Linked DNA regions of Alligator mississippiensis. The protein of the gene in region 2 interacts with the protein of the main gene of each other region in a pairwise test. Links are inferred from orthologs where the notes say so. Each region holds a gene or a part of one and is shown on either strand. Other genes may lie near its edges.

Region 1 (10,173 bases), on a different chromosome or scaffold from region 2:
GGTCCCCAGGCATTGGCAGGATTGCTCTCTCCCCCCTGCCAGCACGCAAGGAGCTGGGGTATTACCTGAGTAGGGCTGGACATTGACACCCCACTTCTGGGGGTCCAGGTTGTAGGCCTCCAGTGCCCTCTTCTGACACAGCCTCTCCAGCTCGTCCACGCACTCCGTGCCGCCGTAGTACCTGCCACGCGGAGGAGAGGGCAGGAGCTCTACAGGGGATCCGCAGGGCCAGCTGCTCTGCCTTGTACCAAGGGCAGGGCCTGGCCCACCATGGGCTCTGAAGGGAAGTGGCTTGGGCAAGCAGCTGAGCAGGGATCATGCCCTGAAGAAGCATGAGCCAAGAGGCGCCCCCACACACGCCCCACTCCATACCTCTGCCCTGGGTACCCCTCCGAGTACTTGTTGTTCAGACAGGAGCCCAGGGCCTCCAGCACAGCCCGGCTGGCAAAGTTCTCGGAGGCGATCAGTTCCAAGCCCAGCCTCTGCCGCTGCTTCTCCTTCTTGATGATGTTGAACACCTTGGAGAGAGATGAGGGGGAGCTTCTGGGCAGGGGATTGGGTGCCCAGAGGCAAGACGTACCCTCCCAGGGGAGAAGAGTGATGGGGAACAGACACAAAGAGGTCACAGCTAGGAGAGGAGAGGCAGGGCCTCTTTCTGCCAGGGCTCTGAGCTTGAGATGTGGACAACACTCTGCGTAGGGTTATGTGGATGAACCAGAGGGGCTCAGAGCAGTGCCCCTACAGAGCTGCTTTCCTGCCATGTGGCATGTGCAGTCCGCATGGGGGGAGTGGGGAGGTGGGGAGGGGTCCAGCCATTTCTTTCTTTCTTTCTTTTTATTTTTTACAGGTGGGGTGGGGTCCTTTGGGTAGCTCGAGGATGCGTGAGCTTGCAGGTGCTGGCTGGAAGCAAGAACCCAAAGAGCTAATGAGTCTCCATCACTCGTGTCGGTGGATCCCCTCCTGGTTTGATCCATGTAATAGCCAAGGGCTGGATGCCAGGCACATGGGCTTGCTTCAATAGTAACATGAGCCTGGAAAGGGTCTGCTGGACCACTGAGACCTAGGAGAGGGACAAGTAGGGCAATGCCTCCCACAGGAAAGGACCACCTCTGGGTGTCATGGAGCAAGGCACAGCATGGACTCAGCTAGAGGCTACCACATGGGGACCGCAAGTTGAGCAGGCTCACAACAGCCCCGAGGCAGGCATGGGGAAAGCCACCAGCCCCCATCCTCCTCCACCCCTTCTGGCAAGTGACAGACGAAGCAGCAACAACCTGAAAAGGAGAAGCAGGGGGGAACCTGCAGCTCCCAGACGGCCCAACGCCCTGCCCTGAGTCGCACTGTCCTGAAAGCTGGTGACCCCACAGTTGAACGGGTCCCTGTGCTGGCCGGATGAATGAAGCAGATGATGACCCAGCGCCAAAGCACGCCACCCCCTCCCTGCCCTGCGGACGCCAGCCTGCTCACCTCGGGGTCATTGGTATCGAGCGGTTCCAGGACCATCTTGTTATGCGACTGCCAGATTTCAGCACTCGGGAGCTCGCCGTTGAGGTTGGTTGGGGTAGCCATGGCCAGGTCCCCTCTGGCATCAATGTACTCTGAAATGAGGAGGGTGGGAGAGTTTATAGAACACAAGCGCCCGCTGGGGAAGACGCGTCTCTCTGCCTCCTCCTCCTGGAAGCATCTTTGGCTTGATTGTCCCCCGGCCTGCAATCACTGTATAGTCGGGAGGAAATTTAGTAGGAGTTAGAATGAAAAATCCCAGTAAATGTAAGAAGACGGGATGGGACCTGCCCTCTGCTAGCATGTTTTTGTGGTGCAGATCAGAGTGCCTCGCTCTTCACCAAAAGGGTGATGGTTTGAGCCTGCCCAGGGCTGTTGGCTGTAGGAAGGAGAGACTTTCTTTCCCGTACCACTTTTCTTGGCAAGATTTTTTGTATTTTGGTGACTTAGTTGCGCTAGCGCAAATGGTTGTGGAATCCCTTCGCTGGAAGTCTTCACATGCAAGTTAAACAAAGCCCAAGTCTGGGCTGGTTTGGACAGGGATGGTCCTGCTTTGAGCAGGGGCTTGGGCTAAATGACCTCCCAAGGACCCTGCCAGCCTGATTTTTCCATGATGCTGTGCTCTGAACCCAAATCAATAGAAATAACTGACTGCAGTGGGTTTGGGCTCAGTGTGATGGTGAAAACACCAAGCTTCAGCCACCTTTAGAAAGACATGCAGGTCCTACACCTGCCGCTGTCCCTGTAGTGATTAGCAGTCAAGCTTTCTCATTTGTGTTACTTCTCTCTGATGTTGCTGCATGGAAAACCCACCCAACCGACGGGGAAAAGAGCAAAGCTGTCTTTATCCACACTTTGCCTGTGGAGAAAGGCAACAGACTGAAAAAAAGATTTTTTCCCACATCTCATAGAAATGCTAGGAGTTGGTACATTCCCTTTCAGACACAAGTGTGATTTTTAAATGGAGGCAATATTCAAAGGGACAGCCACTGCTTCGGATCCACCAGACAGCTCTTGTCATTCAGAGGGGTGTTAAATGCAACAGACTCCCATTGAACATCTCCTTGCACACAAATCTCATCCCACTGTGGCCCGTAGGATTTCTTGAATCGGAAGGACACAGCTCCGAGAGCACACAGCTTGTGGGATCAGGCCTGGAGCGCATGTGTAACCATATGTTGGATCTGTGCCCATCTGCATGTATTCAGCCTGAATAACAACCCAGCCCAATCAACGGCATCCCGACTGAAGTCCACCAGCGTGACCCCCGCGGAGATCAGGCATGGGCGGCACAAGTTATTTTACTCACGAGGGGACAGAACAGCCTCTATCTCCCTTAAAGACAAAAAGGCCTTTCAAAGATTAACTCCCCAAGGCCAGCACCCCCGTGCGCTGCTAGTTAGGCAATCACTGTGTTTGCGTGGGTCAAACAGCTAAAGTCCATTTGGAGGCCGTCTGTCCAACCCACAGTCCATCCTGCTCCGGGGAGGGGCAGCTGGCTGGACCAGCTCCCCCCGTCCCCCTTAGCCTGCTTGTGTTGCTGCAAATGCTGAGTGTCAGAAAAGGGGAGCTGCCCCAAGAAAGGGGTTAGGGATGTTGTGGGTGTGGGGAAAGCAGAGCCTGACCCTTGGGATAGGAGCGGACTCGATCCACGCAGGCAGGTAGTCCTTCTCCTACCACATCAGATCAACCACCATCCTCATCCTCACCTCTACCATGGCCCTCCTCACTGGTAACTCTGCTTTACAGTGGGGGAAAAAGGTCTGTTCTTGGTACTTTGTTCATGGGGAAAGGAGGCAAAGAGCTACGTCCTGCGAACTGCCAAAAGTCCCAATTGGCCAGAACCAGGATTGAATCTCCCGGCTCCCAGGCCATCAGCCCATCCATCTACTCGGAGCAGGGTCAGGAATAAGAGAGGCTCCCTTGTGCAAGGAGCCGGTCACAGAATCAGAGAGACGCCGGGCTGGAAGGGACCGCCAGAGTCGCCGAGTCCGAGCCCCTGCTCAAGGCAGGATCATCCCTATCCCTGGTTCCCTCAGATCCTGCCTCCAGGCTCTGGCAGTAGCTCTTGCCTGAGCGTTGGGAAGCAGCGCCCTGTAACCCGCCTCCCCAGGCTGCTCATCTGAGATCCGTGTCCTACACTTTGGCCTGGGGCCCAGCTGCCAATGCCATGATCAGAGCCCGCCAAGGCAAAGAGACCACCAGTTTCTTGTCTCTGGGGAGTCTCTCGAAAAAGGAAGGAGATGGCTCTCGATGGCAGCGGAAACCGGACGCGGCTTCCTCTCCCCGCCAGAGCCCAGCTGCAAGGGTGAGGGGCATGGTTGCAGAGCTGGGCCTGTGACATCTCCATCCGTGGCGGGTCTCAAGGGCGGGTGGCACAGGTGCTGGGCTGGGATGCTTCAGCCGGGTGTGATCCTGCCTGGAGCCAGGGGGCTGGGCTAGATGTCTGTCCCTGTGAGCTCCCTTCCAGCCTGGCTTGCCTATGATCCGAGGAGCAGAGCCCGGCCAGAGGACCGCAGGGATGGCTGCGGGCCCGAGCAGCGATCTCCAGTCCCCCTCGGGGCAGACCTGCACCCCCCTAGACCCGGCGGCCCAGGGGTCCCGGGCGATCGCCCCGCACTTACCGCGCTCCGCCGCCCGCAGTCGCTCGCTCGCCCGCCCGCGGCTCCCGCGCTAGGATGGAACGTTCAGACTCTCCCACTTCCTCCCCCAGCCAATCCGCTCCCGGGCGGGCAGAGTTCGGCCGCGCCCCGGCCCGCCCGAGCCAATCACAGCCGGGGGAGTGTCCCAGGTTGGATTCCATCCCGCCACGGGCAGCACGTGGGTGGTGGCGGGGTTTCCTGTGACCTTGGCCGTGCGGAGGGAAGCGCATCCTCCAGCCGCTAGCCTCCGCTGCCGGGCCGTTGCTCCCCCAGGGGCTGCTGCTCGCAGCACTGGGGGATCCACTGGATCCTTCAGCAGCAGGCAGGCCCGGGAAGTGCCCCCAGCCAGGCAGCCGCCGCCTGGGCAGAGATGGAGCCCAGCTGGAGTGACCTCTCCGGGGCACCAAGGCCTGGGCAGCGTCTGTGGAGACACCAGCATCCCCCCCGGCCTGGCTGGGACGGTGGGTGCCGCTAGGTGGAACCAGCTTGGCTGCAGAGGCAAAGGATCATCCATTTGTCTGTCTGTCAGGTCTCCTAGGCTAGGGTTAAAGAGCCCAGTCAGCCTTAGAGTACAGTGCACCTCCCTTTCACCACCGTCTGGGGCATTTCCACTGCCGGGGGTAAGACAAGGACCCCCTCTAAGGCGCTCTTCTACCTGAAGCTGTTGGCACCCTAGTGGTGCTAAGTTATTTAACCACCCCCCAGCACTCAGCATTAACAGGTAGTATTGTCTACTGTATTATGGTCAACCTGACATCTTAATTCATTAATTAATCACCCCAATTAGAGCCTTGCCTGGTCTCTGTGGTTTTAGTCCCCATTCCTGTGGCTGGTGGCATCTACCTGGCGGAGGAGAGACTGGGACTAGAGTCTCCCATATCCAAAAGATGAAACCAGGAGGAAGATAACTGTTCAGCAAGGATTAAAGAATCAGGAGGTGAGAAATAACCATCCGTGATACAGGGGGACAGCTCAACACTATGGGGAGACCATAAGCACATTTCAACTTCACTGAAAATAGTGTCGCTGTAACATGTGGCTGCTGTTCCAGACTCACTGATGAGCTGGCGAATGAGAGCCAGTGTGGAAGAAAGCACCAAAGGGGGCATATTACACCTACCCCAAACAGGCATTTTCCCCTTATTGATGGGTTGGCAACAGCCTGTAGTAATGGCCTGAGATCTCATGGTGGCCAGAGGAGATGCGACAAGGACACACGGAGGCAAGCCCCAAGAAAATGGATGCCAACGTCAAGAGCTGGGAGGAGCTGGCTGCTGACGGACTCCAATGGCCCTGCAGCCTCAACTAGGGAGCAGTCCATCTCGAGGTAAAGCGTCTTGCCCTTGAAGCAGAGGAGAGAGCGGAGGAAGGAAAAGGGGAAAATCCCAGCCTGCTGCCTACTCTCCCTTGTGGAAAGACCTGCCACTTCTGCAGACGGGTCTATGGCTCCAGGATTGGACTTTAAAGTCACCTCAAGACCCATCAATGAGCCGGGGTAGAGATCATCGAATGGAGGGTGTGCTGCCACCGCTGACACATTGGCCATTCTTTGGCTTGTCAGTCCATTAAATGCTTCCCTGGCACTGCAGCTTCTCTCTCTCCTGTCCAGACACTATGAGCTGACAGGGCTTACAGTTATGAAGTTTCCTAATATTTAGTTGCATCTTCTTTTTCTTAATGTAACAACACTTTTCCCAGTACAGTTATATCTCTTTGTATTGCTCTAAATATTGGTAACTCCCCTTCTTAAGGCTACATCCTCCGCTCCTAATGTCTCTTCAAATGACTACTAAGTTTAAAGATAATTTGACGTAAGAACAGCAGGATTTGGCCCCTTCTCCCCAAATCATACTGGTGTAAATGAGAATATGCAAGGATGGAGATCCATAGCTCCTATAGATGCTGTGAAGAAGTCAGGTGCTTCCCATTGATTTCCGTGGGAACAGGGTTGAAACCAAAATCTTGGAAACTTTCAAACGTTTCTCACATGTTTAAGAATTAAAATCAGTGCTTCCAGTAGAGCCCGTACATGTTAGCAGGTCAGGACATGGGTGAGGCCCGATCTGTTCCCATTCATCTCAAGAGGACATCAGCTCTGAGGCCTAGTGATGAAGCTGAAAATAGTGTCACTGTAACATGTGGCTGCTGTTCCAGACTCACTGATGGGCTGGCGATTGAGAGCCAGTGTGGAAGAAAGCACCAAAGTGATCCACTCTCGTGTGTGAGAAGCCCTTGAGAGAGCATTTCTCAGGCCGGGATTCTTCTCCATCATCTCACCTGTGTACCACTGCCCTTCTCATCCCTACGTCCGAATGGGTTTGTGTCACTTGACACTTCCCGTGGTGTTATACCTTTGAGATGACTTTCACCCTACAGCCAAAATGACTGCCTTCGTATTGTACATTAAGGGCCTGCCTACGCTCAAGATGATTGAACTGAGTTAGCTTCAGTTATAATAGCAGTGTGAAGACAAGGTAACTTTGGTTTTACTTCAGACTAGCAGCCTGGTATTGAATTCAAACTCTCAACCCAGGTAAAACCCCAGTTAATGTGTCTTTATGGCTTTTTTAAGTTGCATTAGCTAACTCAATTTAGCCAACATGAGTTAAGAACACAGTGCAGATGAACAGCGATGCCAAAGAGTTAAATTCCACATAATACAAATTGAGGAACAACACCGTGGAATAAATGATCCTGTTAAATTCCCCATGAGCTCAGACCATGGAAAGACAATACAACCTACCGTGAATCACTTGCAGAGATGCTCATTGTCTCGAACACTTCCAGACAATAAGAGGAGGTTCCACCACTTCCAGTGCCCAGAAGCAGAGAAACAAGAAATACAAAGCTGTGGTGAGTACCTCTCGTTTGATCTCAGTGTTAGAAATCCAGGCTAGGAGGTGGTGAGAAAAGCAGGAGATTGGGAGGATTTAAGAGATGGATATGTGGGTAAGGTGTTGGCCATGCTCTGTTATAGTGTGTTATCCTTCAAAATGAAAGACATATCTTAAAAGGCAAATTTCTGAAGTAGGTAGTGGGGTCTTTGAGCACCAGACTCCAGTGCCTTTAGTTGCACTGAATAGCCACAGTGGGGCTTCTCCAACTGAGAGGTCAGGGCAGGGGGGTATTTCCCAGTTAGCCCATATCTGATGTGTTTGATGGGTAGTACCTTGATGGATCCCAAGCGTTCTGTTTATAGTAGGGGAATTCCAAGTTGCCCCAACGGTGGCTACACTTCGGTTTCTGTGTGTTATGTATAGAGCTGGACAAAGTCAGGTACCAATTCCATGACTTGCTTACAGCCAGATTCTATCCTGAAATATTCCCACATGGCTCCTCTCTGCTCTCAGTGGCACTGACTCAAGGGGATCTTGGCTAAGTTCCTTGTACACTCTGTGCCTCACTTTCCACAGTGGTAAGGGCAATCTAATCATAGTTGGCTACCTTGACAAAGTCTTTTTGAGATCCTGATGTGGCAGCTACCGCAGATTAAATTAATAGCAGGAATATGCACGTATAATTTCAGGAGCCCAGATCGTGAATGGTGATGGAGAACATCTCCTCCCCCTCACCCATCTCTGTCATCTCCACCGCTCGGTATGAGAACGCCTCTGAACACAAAGATTACTATTCCAGCCTTCAAAAGAGCATGCATATCCTGTCCATGGTGGTCTACAGCATTGCGTGTCTGCTGGGGGTGACAGGAAATGGCCTCGTCATCTGGATCGCTGGCTTCCGGATGAAGAAGACAGTGAATGCCGTGTGGTTTCTGAACCTGGCTGTGGCCGATTTCATCTTCACTTTTTTCCTGCCCTTCAGCATTGTCTACACTGCTCTGGGCTTCCACTGGCCCTTTGGGAAGCTCCTGTGCAAATTAAACAGCACCATTGCCTTCCTCAACATGTTTGCTAGCGTCTTCCTTCTCACAGTCATCAGCATGGATCGGTGCGTTTCACTTGTCTTCCCTGTGTGGTCTCACAACTACAGGACACCCAAATTGGCTTCCAACATTGCCCTGGTGACATGGGTCCTTGCCCTCATCATGAGCTCTCCGTATCTTGTTTTTCGAGACACAGCTATTCATTCCAAGAACATCACCAGCTGCTACAATAACTTTGCCCTGTCTGATGATTATAACTCGGAGGCAGCACAGAGGCTGTGGAGAATGAGGCACGAAGCGATGATTGTAACCAGATTCCTGTGTGGGTTCCTCATCCCCTTCATGGTGATCCTCATCTGCTACACCATCTTTGCTATCAGGTTGAAAAGGAGACGTTTAGTGAGGTCCACAAAGCCTATCCGGATCATCATTGCCGTCACTGTGTCTTTCTTCCTCTGCTATTTCCCATACCATGTCTTCTCCATGATGGAAATGTCCAAACACTCTTCCAGTCATGAGCTGAAGATGGCCCTCTACATCGGCTTCCCCCTGGCCTCCAGCCTTGCCTTCTTCAACAGCTGCATCAATCCAATCCTGTATGTCTTTATGGGGCAGGATTTCAGGGAGACATTTCAACAGTCCATCCTCTCTGCCTTTGAGGGGGCCTTCAGTGAGGACTCTGTCCTGGCCAGCCTGGCTAGCAAAAGAAAATCCAGGTCTGCTTCAGAGGCAGAGCTCCCAGGGGTTTAGTTAGTAGCTCCTATAGCAAGTCGCAAGGGGCCCAGTTCTGTCTGCTGTTACACAACTACAGTTGCTCCTGCTTCCCGTCAGTGCTAAGCTTGTGGACCTGAAGACAGAAATGAGCTGTGAGTTGTTAAGGGGTGTGATTCAGCTTTTGAGATGAGTGCAGAACCTAGTGTGTCTTCACGTACCAGGGATGTAAAACAGCTGGATGGGGGTGGCACAGGGCTGTCAAAGTACCTACTTTCACATGCTGGCCTTTGCATGCTATCAGCTTGGGTTTTTTTCACTTTTCCCTTTGTCAGTCCTCTTGTTGTGCCAGTCACCCTCTGTCACCGGAACCGTTCCTGTTTCACATCCCCTCTGAGGAGCAGATGAGTGTAAGTTACTCTGTTTTGGCCTCTCTGCTCACTGTTCAACTGGAAACCCTAGCACCGAAGGTGGCTCAGAGTCAGCCATGCCTGCTTCTACCTGAAGATGAATCACGTCTTTTTTTACGGCCTTGCCCTGCCACAGTTTTCTCTTTGGAAAACCCAATATTCATTTAGCAAAATATTTAAAAGATAGAGAGGCCATTTCAGAGTTTCCTTTGCTAGTACTGAGATCTGAGCAATTCAGTGCTGCCATCCTGTGCAAGCTTTCAGCACGTGAGCAGCTGACCCAATAACCTTAAGATTTGTATATAGGCAACCCATGCTTAGCGCTCTTAAGTGGTTCCTGAAAACCTGAGCGTTAAGTGAAAATAGCATTAAGTGAAACCAAAAGTTTTTGATGACCTGAGATGGCGACAGCAAGTATTTTTGATGACCCAAGCAAAGATGGTGACTGTGAGCGTTATACTGAAACTCGCTGAGTGCTCAGTGGAATCAGGTATCAATTTAAAACAAGTGTTATAGCAAAATAGGGCTAAGTGAAACAGCGTTAAGCGGGGGTTGCCTGTACTTAATTATTTAATGGCTCTATAGACAAGTCTTCCATCATCTTCCTCTTCTGCTAAGACTTCCCATAAAGAAATACCAGGTTTTTCTCTCCACTGACACATTTAAAAAATAGTGGGCATGTCTACATGTGCATTCATGTGCCGTAATTACGGCGCATTAAGTTTAGTACCTGTAATAACAAGTACTAACTTAATGCACGGTAATCAGTACTACTGCACAGTAGTGCCGACTGCCGACACGTCTTTTAAGTGATGCTAATGCATGGTAGACTAATTGTACTGCGCATTAGTATGGCTTTCGCCGTGATGTGCTAATGCACAGTCGAATCAGTCTACTGTGCTTTAGCATCTTGCGTAGATGTGCCCAGTGTCTGTCCAGCTTAGCCTCGGGTCACTTTGTGGGTTCTGATTAAAATACACACAACACCACACCCAATCTGCATGAACACGCATGCATCCTTGTGGCT
Region 2 (10,468 bases):
CTGAAGCTTTTATTTGGCACTTGGCATGAATGTAACTCTGGCATTTGCTTTCTAGAAAATCAAGGAAATCACATACATGCATTCTGAAGGTATCTTGGCTGGTGAACTGAAGCATGGGCCACTGGCCCTTATTGATAAGCAAATGCCTGTTATCATGGTAATTATGAAGGATCCCTGCTTCAACAAATGCCAGAATGCTTTGCAACAGATCACTGCTCGACAGGTAACTTGAACAACATCAGCTGGATAGAGGTTCTGCATGCTGAAATGCGTTGCTACTGACAGCACTTCAGAAACGCCGTGTCTTGGTGTTTGTCTAGTCCTCAAAGATGGCAAGTGCTCACCCTTTGATTATACCATAATATTAAAGATGGATGCCAGTGATGAGGACTGACCAATTAAAAATGCAGGTGGAATTATGTTGGTGATCTGCAGTGCTAGAAGTTCAAATTGTAAATACCATGTAACAAGCAAAAGGTCTTGTTTTCTCATAAATAGTAGGTAGGCATTGTCATCATCATTCTTACTATCTGTTTGAGTAAGCTCAAAATATATTGAATGCATTTGAAAGCTTAGCACCATGGGGCACTTACACACATACAGGGAGGCTGCTCTGTAATTCCAGCGTGTTGGAGCAGGCTCAATTTTAATTGAGTTTGCTGAAGCGTGGAAATTTTACCGCACTCCAGCGTCATGTGTATCGGCATCCCCATGCTGAAAAATGGTGGTGGGGTGCTTTAACCTAAGTAATCTTATTAGTAATATCTTATTTACAGGGTCGCCCAATCATTTTGTGTTCTAAAGAAGATACAGAAAGCTCAAAATATGCATACAAAACTATTGAGCTGCCACACACAGTTGACTGTCTCCAAGGGGTTCTGAGTGTTATTCCCCTCCAGCTGCTTTCATTCCACCTGGCTGTTCTCAGAGGATATGATGTAAGTGTCTTTTATCTTTAGGTACTCCAATTTGAACAGTTGGAGAAGCACTGCAGTGAACTTCCTTCTGCCTCCCACCAGCTTAATGCGAGAGGAATAGTTGCACAGAGTTTCTAGCAAGAGAATAGCTATATTCTAATTAGCTGAGCTAGAATTCTAGTAAAACCCCCTGAAAATATGTTTAGCTTCTTTTAACTGGGAAAATAAAACTAAATGTTCAGTAGTAAAACTGAATGAGAGCAGTACCTAGAATGAAGATTTCCCTCTATTTTTCAGTAAACAATATGAAAGTAGGAAGTAAAATTTACCCAAAGAAATTGTGACGCTTGTCTGATACTTTATTAACCAATGCTAAGTGTTTGAATAAGCTTAAGACTGATGCCTATGCTTTTGAGAGTTGTACCCTGTCATGGCAATTCATATTTTTGCAATCGAATTGCAAGGAAACTTCTAACGTTTGCAGATTTTAAAATCTCCAGCACTTTTTGCATGTCTAGGTTGTGTTTTGGCTAGCTAGGACAGATAAGGTGTGGAATTAATTCAGGGATGGGTGGTGGGGTGTGTGCACACGCATGTGCAGACAGGTTGAATCAATTAACAGATACAGAAAGTTGCTTTACTCAATCATGTACTGAAAATCTGTTCTTCATTCCAGGTGGATTTTCCAAGAAACCTGGCCAAATCTGTGACAGTGGAATAAACACCCTGCAACTTTTGTCACCAAACTTCTAAATTTGTATTCTACAAATGTATTGTTATTCATTGAGTACACAACTTTCTAAGTAGAATGATGATATTGTTAACTGGAAAGTGTTGAGGAAGGTTGGCTTGTTTGTTTTTTAACTTGTTCTGACACCCGTTTTTAAAAGCTTTTGATGTGCCTTGTACCCAAGTGCTTTTGCTTACAGCAAATGTTTCTCTAAATAACTAATATTGCCAAAAGAGAAAGAAAGGAAATCATTGTTTACACATGGTATAGTGAATGACGTTTTCTACTATTGTGCAATATATATATACAGCTCTGTTTTAGAGTAACTGTGAACACTTTTAGCCAACACTACTTTAACTAGTTTTAAAAACAATGTATTTATAAGTACAGTTGTATAGCTTTAAGTTATTATTTTTTTTAGTATGTTGCTCATCTGTAGCATTGTTTAATGCCCTGAATGTATATCCTGAGCATGGTAACATTTATTCATTTGTGTACAGGGTCATTGTTATGGTCTTGTATTTCAGCTTTGATCTGGAACTCTATGGGCACTTTTTTACATGTGCCCTGGGGGTGGGGGAGAGGCATCGCTTTAATTAAAGCGGCTCTGAGAGCCACTCTAATTAAAGCACAGCAGTGTCTTGTATATCAGTGGCCCTTGCACTTCAAAATGGCAGCGGGGGCACTTGAACTAAAGCTCATTGAATGAACTTCAGTTCAAATACCTCCACCACCTTTTTGAAGTGTGGGGACACTGCACGAGATGCAGGAAGCTGCTGGAGCGCAGTAATTACCATGCTCCGAGAGACTCCATTTAATCGAGTCTGCTCTGACACAGTGTAATTAGACAGGTTGGAGCAGCCTCTGCGCTTGTGTACAGACATCCTGTAGCTGTTTTTTCTTTCTCTTGGTCTCCTTTCTAACTGTTTTTTGCCATTTTCTGTTAACTATTTGTTACCTCAACTTCTTTGACGGAAATCTATTTGGAGATATTCAAACTTCAGCTTTATTTAACCAACCAACCAATCAACATTATTAACTCATTGAATTTTTTTACCACATACATAGTCCCAGTTTTGATTCATTTGACATGTAAAGTATAACAAAATAAGGCAATGGTATTTTCAAGTGGATTACTATACTTCTGTTGGAGATTGTACAATCAAATTACTATGCAATTAAAGAAAACGGATCATGTAAACTCTTATGTGCAATCTTTTACCAACTCCTTCCTCTTCCAGTTAACTATTCTTGAGTACAGTTGCATCTGACTCCACACGTGGAGTTTTCTTCACTGATGGGTTTTGTATCAGACAAAAAATGAAAGCACTTCATGAAGTTTGTGGAAAGGGAGGAATAGTTTTGGAAAAGGAGGAATAGTTTTGTGCTTAAGGCACCTGGTTAGGTTTCAAAATATGAATCCAAATCTCAGATGTGCTGCTGGATTTATGTGACATTGGGCAAAAAATCTCTGTGTCCTAAATGGGGACATTACAGATGGTCCTATTCTTTCTACTATCTTTCCTCTGCCACCTAGTAAGCTGCAAAACTCCTCTGGGGCAAGGACTGTCTTAAAATTTGTGTACTTGGTACAAAGGGAACCCCAGTCTGAACTTATTCCTTATTAATGTATACACATAATGTAGCCATAATATCTGTTTTGTACAAAAACTTGGCATCTTTATAACCTTTTTCTGTACTCCTTATCAATCTAAAAGCTACATCTTTTGGGTGCAGTAGTATCTCCTGCACACACTGAATTTTATAGATGTAGTTGAACTATTAACTCTGTATATTCTGTCTTCCTTTGAGTTGGCTGAGCTAAAAAGACATTTCGCACAATTTTTAAACAGGAAGGTACATTTTGTATTTCACCACTTATTATTTGTGGCCATAATAACACTTTTTATGCTTTTTGTGCCAAGCAAAACCTCACCAGAGATGAATACTTTTAAAACGGTTTGAACCTACCATCTCCTGGTTACGCTCGTGCTGATGAGCAGGATTTAGATCTAGCTTCTCTTGCTGGGAAAGGTCTAAAAGAGGATTTGTTTCTTGCTGGACATCCTGAAGAGCACAAAGCGTCTCTTCTCTAACAGTGACCGGTTTTGTATGCTTCAAAGAACAAAGAACTTTTAACCAACGGAGCTGGACAAGTGTCATATATGTACTGAATTACTGAGACTTTTTTTTGCCCTTACTGCTGATCATCTCCTTCCCCAAAGCAATGATGATCAGTGTGACATTGCAACTTTAATCTTACTGAGCATTGCTAATAATTTTAAGTGGTTAAATCAAAGATTTCAGAAGCCAAGACCAGAAGGGTGGTGTGACTTTCTTTTTTTCCCCTCTTCTTCCAAATTCTTCCTCCTATATTCAAAAGGTGGGGGAAAAGGCAGTGCACATGCACATGACTTACAGTGCATCATCTTTTGTTAAAATTTGCTCATTGCTTAAAGAAAAGTGAGTGGCTTCAATACAAAAGGCTGAACTTTAATAAAAGAAATGAAAAAACAGACTATGGATATATTTATCTGCAAAAAAAATTGCACTTCATGTGTACATTACGTGAACATATTTGTGGAGTAGCACCAAGAAGTCTATTGTAATACCCTGTCCCTTTTGAGGCTTATAAGTGAATTGCTCTAATGGTTTGTCATATTAAAACACTCACAAATTACCATCATTCTAGTTTTTGTAGGTGACTTAATGGTTCACACAAGTTCTTGAGTAGAAAACATTTTTTCCTTTATATAAATACAATATATTCCTCTGCAGGTTGGCTTTTAAATTGAGATGTTTGAATACTTACAATTTAATGGCTTTAAGTGCTGCAGTAGCTTTTTGTACTAGAGCAGTTTCTGATAGCTCCTTTTAAGGTGCTTCGCTTTCTTATAAAGAGGGCTTTGAAAGGTAAAAAAAACACAGTAAAATATGATATGCATCCCTGGCTGAAGCTGAGGTTGTCAGGGGCTAGTCGTGGAGAGGGCTGTTTCTTTGGAGCCACTAATTTTCTTGCCTTTTAATGAAATGCAGTACTAAGACTAGACTGTAAAGCAATGAAAGCAGATTATTTTTGTTTTTTAATTTATAACTTTTAAATTCAAGTAAGGAGAGAATAAATACATGGGGAAATCTTAAAGGAGAGAATAAATAGGAAATCCTAAGTAAGGAGAAAATAAATAAATGGGAAACCGTGCCCTACTTGGGTTTAAAGAATAGACTCAGTTCTTTTTTAAACAGGTAGCAAGCAAAAATAGTAGTTTTTGAGGTATAGGAAAAGAGAAGAAATGCATGGATGAGATGTTACTGAGATTTTTTGGATGGAGGAAGGAACAGCTGTGAGGGCACACACATTCCCTCCAAAGCTTTCGTGGCTCATTTATTCCTTCAAGCCACAAACAAGGATTACATTTTGCAAATAAAAATGGGAATTGGGGGTACAGCTTCTGAACTGGTGCTTCCTGGACCTTAAATGTTGGAGAGCGGCAAGAGGGAGAGGGGGAAAAACACCTTGGCAAGACCCAGTTTGCTCTCCCGTCCAGCGTTCGCTCCTTGCCATGGCATGCCGGGAGCCGCGGGGTGAGGGGGACCGGCGGTCTGATCCGCTTAATGGCAGTTCTTTTGTTTTTTCTCTTGTGAATTACAGAAAATATACAGTATCTATTATTAACTCCATTTTTTTTAAATGAGGGACAGGCGGGCGGACCAGGCAATGCCATTTTTTTCTTCCTGGTGGATGCATTGTGGTAAAGAAGAGAGGTTGAGGTCACCACCTCGGGCAGCGTCATTTGTAGCAGTCTCTTGGTTTTCAGAGACCGCATCTTGCGGTGCAGCGGCAGGCGGCTTCTTCACTGCCGCCCCCGTGTCACGGGGCCGCGTCCTCCTCCCGCCTCGCCTGGCAGCGCTTCCTGGGTGGAGCAGGGTGACGGCACCCGGGGGTTTTGGTGACAGCTGCTGACACTGCCTCGCCTCACCCTGGCAGTTGGATGGGGGGGGTGACATCACCTCAGCTGACAACGGTGATTTGCCGTGTAAATAGCCCATCATTTGGCAGTGCACTTAGGTGTGTGGTGACATCACCAAGCTGGGGGCAGTTTGACGTGGGTGATGACATCAAGCTGGGGGCAGTTTGACATGGGTGATGACATTAAGCTAGGGGCAGTTTGACATGGGATGACATCACTAAGCTGGGGGCAGTTTGAAGTGGAATAACATCACCAAGCTGGGGGCAGTTTGATGTGAGTGATGACATCACCGAGATGTGGCAGTTTGATATGGGCGATGACATCAAGCTGGGGGCAGTTTGACATGGGATGACATCACTAAACTGGGGGTAGGTTGATGTGGGATAACATCACCAAGCTGGGGAGAGTTTGATGTGGAATGACATCACCGAGCTGGGGGCAGTCTGACGTGAGATGACATCACCAAGATGGGGCGAGCGTGACGTGCGCTGCTCGGGCCCAGCCCGGCCCGGAGCCGCCCTGTCTCCACTGCAGTCCCCTCCCTTATATAGTGTCTTGAGGAGGTCCCGCCTCCAGCCGGATTGGCTGAGCGCGCCCGGCGCCGCGCGACGATTGGACGGCGCGCGCGCCCGTCAGCCGGTCTGGCCTGGCGCGGCCTGCGAGGGGCAGGGGAGCCATTGTGGCTGGGGCGGCCCTGCGAGCCGGAGGCGCCGAGCGGGCACCCGAGCGCCGCCCGCCCGCCCGGCCTGGCCAGGCCGCCGCACGGTGAGGCGCGGAGCGGGGAGGCCGCGGGGGGGCGGGGCCTGGCGCGAAGTTTCCCTCAGCCGCGGGGGTCGCCGCTGCCGCCCCTCCCCGGCCGCGGCCTGCAGCCCCCCGCGGGGCAATTCGCTCTGCGGCCCAAGGGGTTTGGGAGCCGCCCTCGCCGCTCCAGGCTGGCTGGGGCCTCGGGGCTCCTGGGGTGGACGCTGGCGCCCGTGCCTGGGGCTGGCGGAGGATGCTGCGGGCAGGCTGGTTTCCCTGCCTGGGCGACGGGGACCCGGGAGCCTGTCCTTCCCGGCCCGCGCCGCGGAGGAGACGGGCGCTCGGCTCGCCTGAGGGGCGACAGCCAGGTCCCCCCGCACCCGCCAGGCTGCAGGTGTAGGGAAGGGGGACCGGAGACGGCACGGCTCGTCTCGGGGACCTCGTCTGTTCCTTGATAAACTTAAAAGGTTTTGCTCCTTTTCCCTCTTAGCTGGACCCTCCACCTGGGACGTCGCCGTCACGTCCTTCCCCTGTGTCCCGAGCGGCGCGGGCAGCGCTTCTCAAACCGCAGTAGCCCACTTGTCTCCCATGTAAGCTGATGTGACGTGAAGATCTACAGGGATCCCATCTGGTTAGTCAGCAAGCGCCGCTTCAACCCTGCTGTTACGGGTCACGCGTGTACGCCGTCACGTGCTCGCGGCGTTTCGTTGTCCGTCTTTGCCGTGCGGTCCGTAAAAGTCCTCCGGTGATTGTCACCGGCGCTTGTCAAAACAAAAAGAAATGCAAAACTCTGCCACTCGCGGTTCAGAGATGATACCTTTCATTCGACCGACTAAGCAATCGCCCTCCCCCCCCCATAAGTCTTTTTCTGCAAGCTTTCGGGCGCGCACCCCGCTTCCTCCGGCTCGGGGAAAATTCAAGCTGGTAAAAAGTCCCCATGGGTAGGAAAGCAACTTCATTTTGCACGGAGGAAGCTGAAGGTGGGAGTGCGCTCCTCGGGGTGTCTTTGTGAGTTGCTCTTCGATGTGCAGATCAGGCAGGGATCCTTCCCTTGGGGTGTCACGTGGCAGAAAGGCAGGGAGGTGTAGAAATCTTTCTTATGTTCAGCAATGAAGCTTTACCTCCAAAATTAGCTAAAATTCGGCATCTTCCATGTAACACATCTCTGTCAAACAAAATGGCTTTCAAATGGGATCATCCGATCTTGTGCCTGTTTTTAATTTAGTAGTACAAGGCTGCCGGGTCAAAATAATGATCCTGCAGCTTTTTCAATTGATGAAGATGTGTTGCATTCTCATTGTAAAGGGGTTGTCGCTGCTGTCCATCCTTCGGAGGACGGATGCCTGTTTCCTGTTTGTGTGTTGGTCCTTTTTAGATGAAGTAATATCACGATACCAGGTGCTGAAAACCTTTTTCTGAAATTGAAGGTTTATTTCTAAATTCCAGAGGACTCCTTTATATCGACTGATGTGAAACATGATGTTCATACTGGCGTACGTGGCGTACGTGATACTGTAGTCAGGTTGTTGACTGATATTCCTTGGCTTTCATGGACCATAGTCGGAACAGAGGCCAGTTTCCCAAAGTCGGGCATTCAAAGGGGGATAGGTCCACAAGGGACTCGGGCATGTAAGTCGATATGCAGGCACCATCAGCATTTGCAAAAAAATTTTTTAACCATGCAAGTGGCTAAAGTGTCTAGCACAAGCGTAGTAGACAAGCACAAAAGTGCCTGTGTCTTGCTGTTGCCAAGCAGCTTGGTACCCCTGCGCAAAGAGAAACTAGGTGATTTCCCCACTGATTTTTTTTTTTTTGTTTTCCTGCAGGGCCTGAACCATTAGACAAGCTCAGAGCTTACCTGTCTTGCCCAGAAGTGTGCTTCTTCTTGTTCAATTGTCCAGTTACGTCCAGTATTCCTATGAGAGCCAGACACCTTGTTTGAATCCTTGTGCCCAGCGTGAAGCTGGATCTAGACCTCTGCTTTTGCACAGGAGGAGGCTCTAACTGTAAATATTTGAGGATTCTCTTTTCACAGCTGTTCTGCTTTGCGTAATGAATTAAACATTTATTTGGCCAAGGAGAGAAAAAGTGAGTACAGCTTCATAGCGCAGTGGTAAGGAGCAGTCATGAGACATGTGGGAGAGTTGGGCTCTGTGAGGGACTTCATATTCGTGCATATATAGTTGAGTAACTTCATTAGGAGATACTGAAAGAGTCTCACTCCAGAATATCAGATAACCTCGTGGTTAGGGTTAGGGTCCTCTAATTTGAGAGAACTGGCGTCCCGTTCCTGCACTGTATTGGCAGAACAGAATTTGAAAACAGCTCACATCTCTCAGGTGATTGTCCTATTTGGGAATGGGAGGTCTCTTGTATTTTTTGTAAGAAAGGGCTGACTTGGTACAAGCAGCTAACTCAGTGAGACAGTTCACAACCGAGACTCTTGCATGGAGATAGGTGCTTAACTGCTCTTGGCTTAGGTTCTGCCTGGTCCTAGCCTTTCCATTGTTACCAGTTTGCCACACAGCTTGCTTGTTTCTGTGAATTATTTTAGGTCTCTATCTTTCCCCATATATCGTATGGGGAACCTTGCCATAACTCAGGGCTGTGAATTAGCAGGGGTGCGAATTGGGGTGACTACCCCAGGCCCCACACTTTGGGGGGCCCCACAGAGCCAGGCTGGCTTCATGTCCGGCCGCTCTCCAGCATCTGGGCCCTGCACAGGCTGATTTGCCTGGGGCCTCACACCCTGCTAGGGTCGTCTCTGTTAAGGTGCTATATATTACAACACCCAAATCCCTGTGTGGATTTAGACCAAAGAAGAGTCTTTATCCTTGTTTCCAAATGACATTAATTTTAATATGGTTTTGTGCAATCAAACTCAGTTAGAATGAGCACTGCTAGATCAGATAGCCTCCTACTTCCTTTTTTTAAGTCTTGTCCTTAATACAAAAAATATATCCTCAACTCAAGGTAAAATCCTCCCCAAGAAAGGAAGCTTATGTTTTTTTCACCCACGTGAAAGTCAGGTTACCCTGCAGGGGAGTTTAGTCTCTAACTTGAGCTGTTTACTTATGTGAAAATGCTAAGCTGCCATTTTCTTCATGAGTATTAGCAACACTGAGTCTCCCCTGTGAAGACAAGGGCAAAGGAGGCTGTAGACTTTTCACTTCACTTCCTTCCCTTCCCTTCCCAAACATAGTTTTCATGTCCTGCATTGGGGAATTGCATAAAATAGCACAGCTGTCCCGTTCCTGTTACTCAGACAGTTGCTGTACTTAGGACATGCAGCTGTGATCTTTACTTTGCTCAATAACCCTTTCCTTACCCTGGCTCATCTTGCCAAGCAGGTGCTTAGGTCAGTTTCTTTACATATCTCAAAGGCCACGGAGATTTGAGCTGTCAGCATTTGCATGGGAAACCAGACCTGCAGCCCTGTGTTGTTAACTCTTTTACCCTTTAAGTAAAATAATGAAGATTTGGAGTGGAGTGGGTATAGGTTAAAACCTTGTCCTTCCTCTGGCCCTTGGGAGCATAGTGGCTGGAGAAAAAGGAGACTTGCATACCCCAACATATGGGCTGGGGTAGGCAGGGGTTTGTTAGCTTAGCTTCTTCCTTTTGCATTCATGTTACTGGTCAAGGAGAATAATAAGAAAAAGGTCTGTTGCCATTTCATCTGAAGTTTTAAGACTTTTTCTTTCTGTGGTCAATATTCTAGAACTATGACACATAATGGGGGGTTTATTTTGACAAGGGAAGGGTAAAAGGAGTATGAGAAGTCAGGTATCCTTTAAAGAAAACCCAAATATTTATGATTTTCACATAATGAGGTTTTTTTTTTTCATAGAACATTGACCATAATTAAGCCTCACATTGGACTGTCAGGTAGCTGTAGTCATAGGTCTTGCAAGAAATAAGGCCTTTTTATATTGATCAACAGCAAAAGAAATGAATCTAAGAATTCAACAGCGGGCTTTGATTTTTGGTTTCTTTTTTCTTGTTTGCTTTTTCCTTTTATTATTTGTTATTTCTCCAAATTTCATGTCAAAGATTTGCTTGTTATAGTTGTCCGTTGTGATTCTAGTAGCATTAACTCAGCCACACTGTACAGT

What was found.
Region 1: the proteins of MAPK9 (region 2) and SHMT1 interact in binary tests that used the Homo sapiens proteins (3 or more experiments, as listed by UniProt). The two-hybrid records come from large-scale screens. The link is inferred for Alligator mississippiensis from reciprocal best matches to the Homo sapiens genes MAPK9 and SHMT1.

Annotation. Positions count from the first base shown.
Region 1 is NC_081836.1:55,109,591-55,119,763, forward strand, and holds the start of SHMT1 (serine hydroxymethyltransferase, cytosolic), read right to left. Parts: upstream 4,209-10,173; 5' UTR 4,128-4,208; intron 1,599-4,127; 5' UTR 1,570-1,598; coding exon 1,468-1,569; intron 519-1,467; coding exon 373-518; intron 182-372; coding exon 66-181; intron 1-65. Other genes in the region: chemerin-like receptor 1, read left to right, coding at 7,687-8,775. UniProt on the Homo sapiens protein: Interconversion of serine and glycine.
Region 2 is NC_081832.1:73,861,736-73,872,203, reverse strand, and holds the start of MAPK9 (mitogen-activated protein kinase 9), read left to right. Parts: upstream 1-6,279; 5' UTR 6,280-6,380; intron 6,381-6,846; 5' UTR 6,847-6,987; intron 6,988-8,182; 5' UTR 8,183-8,362; exon of another isoform or gene 8,363-8,444; intron 8,445-10,468. Other genes in the region: GFPT2 (glutamine--fructose-6-phosphate aminotransferase [isomerizing] 2), read left to right, coding at 56-223, 777-938, 1,594-1,638. UniProt on the Homo sapiens protein: Serine/threonine-protein kinase involved in various processes such as cell proliferation, differentiation, migration, transformation and programmed cell death.